Drosophila melanogaster: one gene and its partner. The gene in region 1 interacts genetically with each later gene. Each region holds a gene or a part of one and is shown on either strand. Other genes may lie near its edges.

Region 1 (7,718 bases):
CATAAAACCAGAATAACATGATATCGGCAAACTAAGGTTTATATACTCTTCCAATTAAAACAATGTCTTGGATAAAGTTTTTTAACCCGTGCCACTAACGTAGACGACCGATACATGCCAGTCAGTCCCCTTGTCCGTCGGTCCATCTTTATAAAAGTCAAAACCTATAAAACTATAGATATCAAAAAATTGAAGTTATCCGTCCAGATTCTAGTAACTCCTACGAGGCTTTTGCTTGTATCAAAACGTAAATTATTTATTTGTTATGTCTATGTACATGTATGTATATGATGAAAACAACCAACAACAAAATATTCGTATTCTATTTCTAGTTTGATGCAATCGTTTCGAAGGAAGTAAAAAGTAAATGTAGCCAATAATTGTAGGTATTCCGGTGAAGTTACGTATACATCCTCTTTGTTCTTTCTGTTAAATATTCTTCAGAGAGTACGGTTTACCCTTTTTTTGTTAACAAGTAAAGGATAAAGAAATATTATCTGCTGGGCTTTTCCTTATATCGATTTGCATAACTAAAATCAGCAAAATAATAGAATACTTACTCGAATTTCACATTTGGAAAGTATGTAACAACCAGAAGGAAGCGTTTCCAACCATATAAAGTGTGATCAGGATCAATAGCCGAATCGATCTGGCCTTGTCCGTATGTCCGTGTATCCGTGTGTCCGTCCGACCGTCTGTCCGACCGTCTGTTCGACCGTCCGTCTTTCCGAATGAACTCGAAATCTCATGTACTGTACGTAAACGTAAAAGCTTGAGATCAGCATACAGATTCAAGCGACATAGACGCAGCGCAAGTTTGTTGACAGATGTTGACACGACCACTCTAACGCCCACAAAGCGCACAAAACTGGCACGCCCACATTTTTGAACAATTTGTGGATAGTTTTTCATAATTTCATCTAACGCCCACAAACTGCACAAAACTGCCACGTCCACACTTTTGAAAAATGTTTTTATATTTTCTCATACATACTTTTTCATACAAGACTAATAATCTTGTAAATTTCTATCGATCTGCAAAAAACATTTTTGCCACGACCACTCAAAGCGCTAAAATCGACCAAAACTGCTACTCCCACGTTTATGAAAATGTATTGGATATTTTTCATAATTTTATTAGTCTTGTAAATTTCTATCGATTTGCCAAAAAACGCCCAATATAAAGCCCGCAAACCACGAATAACAGGTATAACAATTTTTTCCCATTTTATTTCCCCCTAATATCGATATCCCAGAAAAATGATGAAATTTTGCGTTCGCATTCGTACTAGCAAATGAATATAATATTAATATTTATATCTTGATTTGAATCTAACTGAATTGGACGTAAAGTTTTACAGATAAATCTGTTAATGTTTAGGCGCACATAGATCGACACAAGATCGACTGCTAATTTGGAATTTTGGGTAAACGATTCCATCTACGCTTAACAACATTTTTATTTATTAGTTACGATTACGATTTAAAAATGATTTAGGTTATTGAAATTCATCCATTTGAATCTGCCGACTTTTTAATCGTGAAAGGAAGCATATATCGATAGCATCGATATTCTTTCTAATTTGAATGGCAACAGATATTTCTGGTGCAAATATGGCAACGCTGAAATATTGTTATTTTCAAGAAAGCTTTTGAAAAGCTTAAAGTGTCATCTTAGTTTCACAAAGTATGCAATGTCATTTAGCAACCAACGGAGATACAAAATATTGTTTCCGTGCTAAAAGGAAAAGCATAATACATTTATAAATCGTGAAAATGTGATAGTGTCCCTAATATTTCTCGTGAAGAAATATATTTACTTAGTTGAAAATTTATTGTTTCTAAAAAGAAAAAGGTGATACATATTGTTACATACACTGATCATAAGCCTATACACATAACCACCTTCCTTCTTACATATGTACAAATTTTTTTGTTGAACGCATGCTTTTAATTCCTCTTCATCCCTTTCCGCTGCTAGGCTTCTAAGTAACCACCATTCAGGCGTAGGTCTTTTCATCTGGACACAGTCTGTGTGTCGCCTTGAGTTCTTCAGAAGGGACGGATGAGTCTGTCTGTCCGCTTCTGTTGGTGCATGGTATGAAGTATTTCTGGCGTAATAATAACTGTGCCATCCGAAGCTCGGCGTCAGGTTTAGACTAATTTTAATGTGTTGTACCCTTTCAAAGTGTATATTGATTTAAGTCAGTTTCTTGCAACGCAGTAAAGGAGACAATTACGACCACACGAAGAATATATGTTCATCTGTATGGCTAGCAGTAAGAGCCGTAACCGTCCGTCCGTTTCAACGCAAACTGGTTCAATTACTGGTTAATTATCAAGTAAACAAGTATTCGGAGAATATATCATTTAAGATTTGTATACCCGTATATATATTCCCTTACTCGTAGAATCAAAGGGTATACTATATACGTTAAAAAGTAAGTACCATGTAGAAGGGAGCATTGCCGAGCATACAAAGTATATACAGGGTGCGGCAGCATAATTTCCTTTTTCAGAACTCAATGAAAACTATTGTAGGCATCGGAAAAAATTTATTTTTTTTTATATTGTACGTACATGTCATATTTTTTGAAGATGAAATCTGATAGGTGACGTCCCCCATTCTCCATACATTGCGTAAACCGATTTCTGGCGTTTGTCGTGAGTCTTGTTAGCATGGCAGGTGTTATGATGGCAATTTCTTCTTGGATGTTGGTTTTCAAATCTTGTAGGGCTCTTGGACGGTTCACATAAACACGGGACTTCAAAAAACCCAATAGAAAAAAATCACAAGGGGACAGATCGTGCCGGCCATTCCAAATCGCCTCTAATTGAGATAAGGCGCTCTGGAAAGTGTTCCCTCAAAACAGCCATCGATGCTCTTGAAGTATGTGCTGTTGCACCGCCTTGTTGGAACCAATTTTTGTATATAAAAAACACTTTGGCCACAAAACGAGCGAAACGGTCACGCCCACATTTTCAAACAAATTTAAAACTTTTTCGTATCTTTTTGCACAATATTTATAAATATCCCTGAAAAATTATGAAACTTCGCATCGGGGAAGTCGACTATAGCTTTCTCCGGTGTTTTTAATTTATTTGCCAATTTGTAGCCTCCTCTCTTGTTTAGTGTCCATATTAATTTCCAGTTAGCTTACCACTTATCTAATCGAAAATTTGTATTTTGAACAGGCAGACGAAATGAACGACAGAAAGGAAAGGAAAGGAAAAAGATTTGCAATGATTAAAAAAATATTTACCAGAAAAATAAAATTGACAATACTTGTACCACGTTTCTAAGGGACAGTGCCTGTACTACACGCTTGCCATATATCAAAGATGCGATTTGCCTTCGATTCTAATCATTCGCAATCGGGGGCGCCATTCAAAGGCAGCAGGTGTTTCTTTAATTGTCAATGCATCTGCTGTCGCCAAGGATGCTGCGTTGTGGTTGTAAAGTGCTGTTGCTGCTTTAACTTAAACTGCTGCAACAGCCTTGGCTCCCGGAAGTCATTTCCACAACCCGCTGCAATGCGTAAAAAAGTTGCTGACCTCGAAGTCCTTAGAGTATCAAGGTTTGTGGCGGTTATTTTAGTGCTGGCTCGGTGGGTTACTGCGGTAGCGACACTCCTGACAAGCTGCATACTCCTAGACATATTTTCCGTGCCTGGCCAGTCTGGAGTTGCAGATAGAAGCCAAGCCAGCAGTAGGACAGTGCACGTCTCGGTTCCTACCACACCTAATGAAACTCCCAGTAGCACTTCGGAGACGAAGCTAAAGTTGCTTTATGGGTATACATCGTATGACATAAATAACGACCAACAGGTAAAGTCCAACAATTTATGTAGAGTGCTTTGTAAAAGTCGCAATCGTAAACGACAGCGAAGGAGGCGACGCCGACGCAATCACAGACGACGCAGGCACAGATATACTAAGCGACTTCATCATCTAATGCAAGATAATATGAGCGGCTTTGAGCAAAGACTTAATTTTAGCGATGCCAAATGCCAGTCTTTGGAGACAAATTACGGAACTAATTATGACTTAGTACAAGGAGGTAAACTATTTAGTCAGTCAGAGAGAAGCCTACTGGTGTCCCCTTTGAGGGAAATTGAAGCACCTTGGCCAGCGATTCATGGTTCAATGCGTAACTGTTCAAAGATTAAACGCAATAGAGCCAATCTTATTTGGCTTCTAATTGGACTCGTCTGGTTTGAAGTCAAACTTATAAATTGCAATGGGATCAGCAGTAGTAATTATTATGCTTCGAATTTGGAGAGTCACAAGGGCTGCACCTTGTGCCATGAAAGCGGAAAGCCCAACATATACACCGATAAAGGTCAGTTTTCAAAAAAATTTTTTACATACTGAATATAGGGTAATCTTTTAATATTCTTATTGAGACTAAAAAAAACTACATTGAGTTTGGCGTTATTAAGATAAAACAGATGTGAGTTGTTGTGAAATAAGCGGTTATCGTACTGTACCAAAACTATTGCAATGCAGAATTTTTTGTAAAATAAATTTAATTTGTAAGATTTTTGTGCTATTTTTAAGTAAAATAAAATCATTTTCAATGATTAAATTAAATATCTATTGACAAATGTTGTACCACTAGTAATGTAAATAATATTTAATACAAGGACCACCCGCAGTAAGCCTGGGATATTCATACCCCCTTAAAAGGGTAAATAACAAAAAATACAAAATATCTAGAACAAATTTTCATAGTCTGGGTGAGTTTTTATCTTAATATTGCAATTTGTTTATCTTAAGGATTGGAAAAATTTGCTTGCTACACGATTAATTTCGTACATATTTTTGAATTAAAACATTACGAGTCTTGAAAGGTATTCCTGTCTCGTCTAATTTTATTGTCATAAAATAAAAAAATTATATATTGTTCTTAACGTAAAAACGAAGGAAATGTCGCTCCAGTGACGTAAATATGTACAATACTAGTCAAACTCGGTATTGCAAAAAAAAACAGTAGAGGTCATAGGCGCTGGATTTCAGAAACTATAAATAGATTTGATTATTGATTTTATTTCTTTTCGAGATTTTTGTGAACCATAAAAATAAATCCAAATCTTAAAATAATAATGCTAGCAAGACAAAAAAATATTTTTAAAAAACGATAAAACTTGTGTGATATCGGGTAATGAAACTTTACTAAAAACATAAAAACACTCCATACAACAACAAAAATTTATATAATGAATTTTACATAACACTTTACAATTATCACATTCACACAGATAATCCACACACAGACTACAACATCTACAACAAATACCATTCCAACAATAATTTCAACAAAAAAACTAATCAACCCCATAACAACATTGCACCCAGCGATGAAGTTCGTTTGGAGTCAATAAAACGGCAAATTTTGACAAAGCTTGGTCTTAGCCACAAGCCTAATGTATCTCATCCTTTACCAAAGCAATTTATTTGGGAAACAATATATCGAGTCGATGGTGGACGAATGATACCAAACAATGCATTTGGGAGCAGTGGTAAGAATTTAGATCAGAAGACTATCAAGCTGAGGGCGTTTGCCTCGCCCGGATCACATTTGTTTAATGGCCGAGGTGGAAGGACCGATCAGAGAAGCGAACGGGATCCCAGTCATCATAAATATCGATCCCCGTTCGATTTCACTTTCAATATAAGTAAAAATAATGTATATGGGAAAGTATTGAGAAATCGTTCTTTAGAACGAATCGATAAAAAAAACTCATTCTTAAACGGATGGACAGAAAACCGTCAATTAAAAATAAACTCTCAAATTGCATCTATGCCTATAGAACTAAAGAGCCACCATAACAGTAGTCCTAAGGAGCTTAAAAGCGGAGCGGTCAGAAAAGTTAATGGCATCAACGGCACACAAATGAATGAGAATGCCTTAAAAAAATCTACATATCCTATAGATATAAATCATAGTATTGATAATAAAACCCATACTGGCAAAAATGGTGAGATGAGCCACAATGATTATGAATATTTTAACGATTACAGTGTTCAGACTCATGATAAAAACCGGTACCATGAAGGTCGCTCTAGCATTGGATATCAGCCAGCGATCCACAACATAGAATATGAAAATCAGAAAGGACATCACGAATCTTTTGCTGATGATCATGAAAATATTGATCATGAAGACTTCTTTGGAAATACGCAGGAAATAATTACATTTGCTGAAGAGGGTGAGTAGATTTTTATTCAACACAGGATTAAACGCTATCGTCGAGGGCAAATTAAAAAATAAGAGACGTCGAGTTCGCCGACTATCAGATACCTGTTACTATAAATAAGTAAATATAAATTTTATTTTATACCCGTTATAACTAGTGGGTACGCAAACGCGAAATTTCATAATTTTGCTGGGATATCGTTGGATATTACGGGGAAATAAAATGAGAAAAAAATTGTATAATTCTTTAATAGTGAGGGAGTGAGCCTCTTGGGCGTTTTGTTGGTGAAAGGATGTGCGTGATCACAGTGTTTTGGTATACCGGTGGAAATTAGCAAGACAAACAATAAAACAAAGAAAAATCTAAAAAAAATTTTCTAAAGTGTGGGCGTGGCAGTTTTTTGGCAAATCCATAAAATTTTAAAAGACTAATAAAATTATGAAAAAATATCCACAAATTTGTCAAAAAAAAAAAATTGTCGGCGGCATTTTTTGGGTCGTTAGAGTGGGCGTGGCAAAAAGTTTGTTGACAAATCGATAAAAAAAAATGTACAAGACTACAGACTAAAAATATGAGAAAATATCAAAACTTTTTCAAAAGTTTTCGGAGGTTTGTGGGAGTTGGCTCAACACACGTGCGATGCGTTTAGGTGTCTACAATCGGTATGCTTCTAGCTAGTATGCTTCTAACCTTCTAGCTTTTATAGTTCATGAGATCTAGACGTTCCATACAGACATGGCTAGATTGATTCGGCTATTGATCCTGATCAAGAATATATATACTATATATAGTCGGAAACGATTCTTCCTGCCTTTAACATACTTTACTATACTATACTATACTATATACTATAGTTACTATTATATATTATTATATTATAATATATATTAATATATAGTAATAGTAATATACAGTAATAAAAATAAGAAAGAGTGATCGTGCCCAAAAAACATTAGGCAAATCAGTAGAAACCGGCTTGTGGCGGTATGTATGGCATACCGATAGAAATTGGCAAAACAAATTATATAATGACTAAAAATAAAAACGCTTTCTTAAAAGTGTAAGCGTGGTAGCTTGTGAGAGTGCTTCTTCTCTGAAATTTTTAATTTTTTATCTGAACTTTCTAGATTTTACAGGCCCTGACATCGATACGATCGATATGGACAAAAACGAATATATTTAAATACGTTATATTAAAGTTGAAGTAGTTGAGGTTTTTTTAATGTCTACCAATATCCGCCATCTCTAACGCCTACAAAACGCTTAAGAGTACATTTTATATACAAAGCTTTGATTTTTAGTTAACTGTACAAAAATTGTAAACTTTACAATATATCTGTTTTTGAAGAAAAAAAACAATGCAATATATTTTTTTGTAATTCGCTCATATGACTGTGTGTAGTCTTCTTATTCATTGGCATAATATATTTTATTTTAAGGAACCCAATATCGACAATATCGAATACTCGAGTTTTCGGCCCAAAACCGCCGTGTTCCCAGCCAAAAATTATCCATACG
Region 2 (4,973 bases), on another chromosome or scaffold:
TAGTTTTTAAACTAACTCATTTTTCTCAATGTTTGCAAAAGCATATTTTCACCCATAACACGTGCGGCTGTTTCTCTGGAGAACTGGACACTGACTACGTGCGGTCATTAATAGTTGGCAACTGCTCCTGGATTGTCTCGCTCATACACGATAATCTCGACACCTCCTGGGCCTTTCGGCCCAAACAAATCGAGATTTGGGCGATTATGAAATTGGCAATTAGTTGACTGTTGTGTGACAGCTGTTCGATTTCAGGTAGCATCGACTTTGAGCCCAGCATATGGCTGGCTCTTCAGCACACTCAAGCATTCAGGGAATCGCACTTGACAGCCGTGAAGCGTCGACTCTTAGACGAACGAGCCACTTTGGGAGGCGTTCACCTGTCTGAAGTCAGAAATTAGTGACTTGGTTTGCTCGTCGTTGGTGTGTTAGGGAGAGGGGGAGTGGGGAAGGACCTATTAACGGACCGGGTGAATTATGATTACGGGATGGCATGCATGGCTTTATAGCATGTAGCCCCCGATTATGTGCAGATTTATTGCAGCTAAAAATCAACGCTAATATAATGCATAAATCAGAGTGCCAAAATCAACATATATGTAGTAGGTACTCTCTTGTGTGTGTGTGTGTGTGTGCCAGTGCACCAGAAGGAGGTCCTGCGAAGGATTCGCCAGAGTGGCCTGTGAACCAAGTGAAATTCAGCGAAAACGAAACATTTTGCCAAAGTTGTTGGGTGGCAAAAGTGGGTGTTGCGAGTGGGTGGTGCCGAATCGGGTGGTGATTCTCAGAGAGCAAAAGAGAGAAAGAGGCCAGCATATTGAGGGCGTCTCTCAGCAGGATTTTGTCTTTGCAGATTTTCGCGCAGTCGCACTGATTTCCCAACTTCCAGTGGCGGAGTTTTCCTCTCGCTCGGTCTGCAAGGGAAATATTCTGTCGCTCGAGCACGGGGAAACTGGGTTTTCTCGGCCACGGCAGCAGATGTTGGCTAATTGAAGCATTACAACGTAGGTCAGGCTCACCCTGAGTTGTGGGAACTTTATGACTGGCCAAAAGTGACGATGCGAATGGACCGTCGAGGCTGCACGGACCACCAAATGCAGGTAGAAATCATAGATCATCGCTGATGATGTACCACATTCTTGGGCATAATTAAAAAGCCATTTAAGCGGGGGGTTCGCTCGCATTATCCAATTATATGGCCCATGGCAGGGGCCTACGCTACGGTTCTTTGGCTACTCAAACAGAAATGTTTTGGGTGTTTGGCACTTAACACATTTCCACATGGCTTCACTCTTTCAACTTTGAGCGGGCTGCGCAGGCGCTTTTCGCCTTTTCTGAGCGCCAAACGAGTTGGGAGTTTGGCGGTGAAACTGGTTTTTGGGTCACAGTCACATCGAAGGGCCCGCCGACAGTTGAGAACAGGTAAACTCGAGATAATTATTCAATGAAGCCGAGCGGCCGCGCAGAAGGGCTTCCCACACACAAAAAAAAAAAAACATTGGTAAAGTGTTGACCAAAGAGTTTTGGTAACTGCAGCGCTAAAACAAATATTCAAGCAAGCCTTGGAAATCATGCAAATATCTGAATGTATTAGGTGTTTTCTTAGGTCTCATTTCTACAAGAACAATTGCTGGAAACATATTCCTGGCCTGAATTACACCGCATTTGTTTCGAGTGCACTGCACTCCCCTGAATTCTCGTGGTTCTCTGCTGTCCGGTCCGTCGTCGTCGGAAAGCCATGTCAAAGGGTTAGGACAGGTTCGCTGGCCACATTCGCTCGGCCCGAAGCTGAATCGGAATATGGCATTAGCCAGCATCATATAGTATAAGAGAGTATAGGCTCTCTCTTTCTCGCCGAAGCAGCGCGCTCTCTCGCTCTCTCTCTCTCTCGCAATCTCTCTGTTCGTGCAGCAAATGCCGTCTCTTTTTCGAGTGGCAAATCGAGCACTCCTGACGCAGATTCAGTACTCAATTGTTGTTCCACCACGGCGTACGTGAACGCGGACGAAATCCGTAGAGTCCAAAGCAATCAGAAATCCCATTTCAATCGCAGCGTTCAGTGGCCGTAAGTGCTGTCTCGCTCTCGCCTTTTCCCAGTGTCTCTGTGTGTGTGTGCGTGTGTTTGTGTGCGACTAGGAAAATTGTTCAAGTTATGGATACGCAAATTGATGGAAAATGATGAGTGAATAAAAGAAAAACAAAGCAAAAAGCGGGCGGCAATCAAGCGGAACGTCACAAATTCAAATCACCACCGGAAAAGGGGTGGGAAAACGCTCTCCCAATTGTGCGTGTGTGTGCGTACATATGTGTGTGTGTCTGTGCTGAAGTGGAAATTCGCTCGCGTTTTCGGCGCTTTTCACGCTCCTTTGGCCAGAATCGGAAAAACAGGACCACACCCGCGCGGGTGCAAAACTTGAAAATGGGGAAGAAAAAAAAAGCAGCAGAACAGCCAAGAAAAACAGCGCTGCAAGAAAAATTCCAGTTTCCCAAAGGATCGCAAAGAGAGTGACAGAGAGTTATAAGAGACATTTCTGAAAACTTGTACTGGCTGCAAAGTTCTCAATGGGGGGGTTTTTCGGGCCAGGACAGTTGCGCAAGTGAGCAGTTACCGTTATTGGGGAATTTTGGCCAACAAGATAGCCGTTACGCATCAGCTGATTGCTTGGAAGGGAAAATAGAAGGACCTTTTCCAACAGACATACCAGCATATAGAAACTTAAGAATATTTTAATTTTTAAAAATATTTAAAGTTTCAACAAAGAGTCTGTTAAATATTTATTTTTAAAACTTTATCAATACCAATATCCTTTATGGAAATATCTAATGATGTTAGGCAGCGTTGAAAATATTAAAACAACAAGTTTCCTATCCTAATGTTTTAGCACCAGCTTGATAACTTTTCGAGCATAGCTTGCTCAAAAAATTGCCAAAAAATTAAACCCCATATTTTCCCGCTGAGCACTTTTCCCCACTGCCTTGGAAAACTGGTTCTCTCTGTTTCTGCTTTTTGGCCTGTGCAGCCGTCGCGATTTTCCAGCGAGCTGTTCGACAGGCCCGTCGTCAGTCGGAGTTTTCAAAAAACGCCAGGCAATTGGTGTGGCGGCGACGCACAGCTGTGAGTTTCAGTTTATGGTTTCGACCTGTGATTTTGGCCCGACCAAGTGGAAAAAACAGTGGGAGGATGCTAATAAAGCAGCTCGCCAAGTGACAATTATATAATGCATATAAGGCGTATAGTTCGTATAGGGCGTACATATAAGGCGTAGCCACCGCATTGACCCATGAGTCACGTGTTTCGGAGTGTGTGCCGCAGTGAAATCCACAAATGCCGAAGGACCTTTATTTGTTGACCAGACCCAGTGGTGACAATTGCCACAACCCATGCTCATATTTTTGATTTTACGCCGTATTGATTTTATTTGTTGTGCATAAAAGGCGCGTTTATACGCAGAGTCCTCGCATCGCCATTCATTTTACGCCTTATGTCTTATGAGTTTTGCCTTTGTTCTGAAGCACTCAATCAACCATTTCCCCCAATCAAATTGGAATAACATAAAAATCCTTTGTGCAGCCCCACGTAAAAGTCAACGGTTTCAAAGTCCTTCGTCAAACGCATACGCCCAGTGTACTCGAAGTGGAAAGTGTCATAAAGTATGCGATTATCCTGTAAACAAAGTGTAAAACGCGCCCAGTAAACGCCGAAAACGAAAGGCGAACAGCAAACAACTCCCGGATTTTACGACTTGAGCAATCAAACTCGCCTGGTCACTCACCAACTTGAGGACTCCCGGACTGTAGGACTCCAGGAGTGCAGGACTCTTGGAATTGGCCAGTACACAACTATAGAATTGGATCTGGGCACGTCGTATAATGATTGCGCAAGTGAGGTGAGTCACCACCCATTAGGGTCCAAAATGTCGATATACTCTAAATTGTAATGTAAGCGAAATCCTCGGGGAAAACTACTGCAGCTACAACAGCTACAGCAGCAACTAAAACTAAAACATCGCCAATTGCACACACATCGAACAGAACAATCAAATGCTCCAATGTCCGCAGGCAAGAATTTAATTAAAATTTATGAAATTTCAATTACATCGGCAAGTGTAAATAAGTGCGGTTGCGAGCATTACGGGCCCAATTCAATTACGAAATTTTCAAAAGGCCAGAAAAAAGTACTCTGGCCCAGAAAAACAAACAATCGAACCGAACCGAACTGAACTGGGCCAGAAAGCAGAAAACAAACGGCAAATGCCAGGCGGGAATCGAAGGGATCGGTTTTCGAGAGGGGATTGCAGTTTCGGTGGCTCGAAACGGATGGAGGGGCTTGATTGGTTTTGTGGCTTTGTATCTTGCTAGGAGGAGCTTCCAGCGTGGCTAGATCTGACCATCTGTAGTTCGAAATAACAAAGCAGCAAACATGTGTAACCGATGACGACAAAGACGGGGACAGATGATAAAGACAAAGGGTTATTAGTGGTTCCGTTGGCCAGGAAATTGCAATTCCCATAGAGGGACACACCATACGGATACGGATCCATGGCTTTGCGCTTCGCTTCAATCGCTCCACTCGCCTCTTGGCAGTCATTTATTCGAATATTCGAATTTCCACCCCGCCCCACAAATGCTTAATATTGATAAATGAAGTAGTTGTTTGCCCATTTCGCTCCACACAAAATGGGCTTACTACGCCCACTCCAAGGAAATACGGAGTAAATTTGGGCCTGTCTGTCGACGGGTCCCTGAAATGCCAGCAATCATCGGTGGATCGATTTACCATTACATTTGGTGCATGCCAGATATTTACATGTAAATATATAAAGGCTGTAAGTGGGTGCTTGCGTGACTGCCGACTAAGGTCACTTGGTAACCTATTCAAACGAGTTACGACCTCGCTTAGCGGCGATAACGATAACGATAGCGATAACTATGCTCGCACACGAATGCAGGCAAAAGCGACGCGCCATAAGTGT

Evidence for each region. Genes that interact genetically often act in the same process or in processes that back each other up.
Region 2: of Actbeta (region 1) and tutl, changing one enhances a phenotype caused by changing the other (phenotypic enhancement), as found in Drosophila melanogaster (one study listed by BioGRID).

The regions. Positions count from the first base shown.
Region 1 is NC_004353.4:1,078,751-1,086,468, reverse strand, and holds the start of Actbeta (Activin-beta), read left to right. Parts: upstream 1-1,672; 5' UTR 1,673-1,855; intron 1,856-3,195; 5' UTR 3,196-3,342; coding exon 3,343-4,342; intron 4,343-5,261; coding exon 5,262-6,212; intron 6,213-7,639; coding exon 7,640-7,718. UniProt on the Drosophila melanogaster protein: Controls several aspects of neuronal morphogenesis; essential for optic lobe development, EcR-B1 expression in larval brains, mushroom body remodeling, dorsal neuron morphogenesis and motoneuron axon guidance.
Region 2 is NT_033779.5:4,281,188-4,286,160, forward strand, and holds the start of tutl (turtle), read left to right. Parts: upstream 1-1,960; 5' UTR 1,961-2,065; intron 2,066-3,062; exon of another isoform or gene 3,063-3,115; intron 3,116-3,513; exon of another isoform or gene 3,514-3,571; 5' UTR 3,572-3,887; intron 3,888-4,973. UniProt on the Drosophila melanogaster protein: Essential protein that plays a role in the establishment of coordinated motor control. In the developing eye, involved in axonal targeting of the R7 photoreceptor.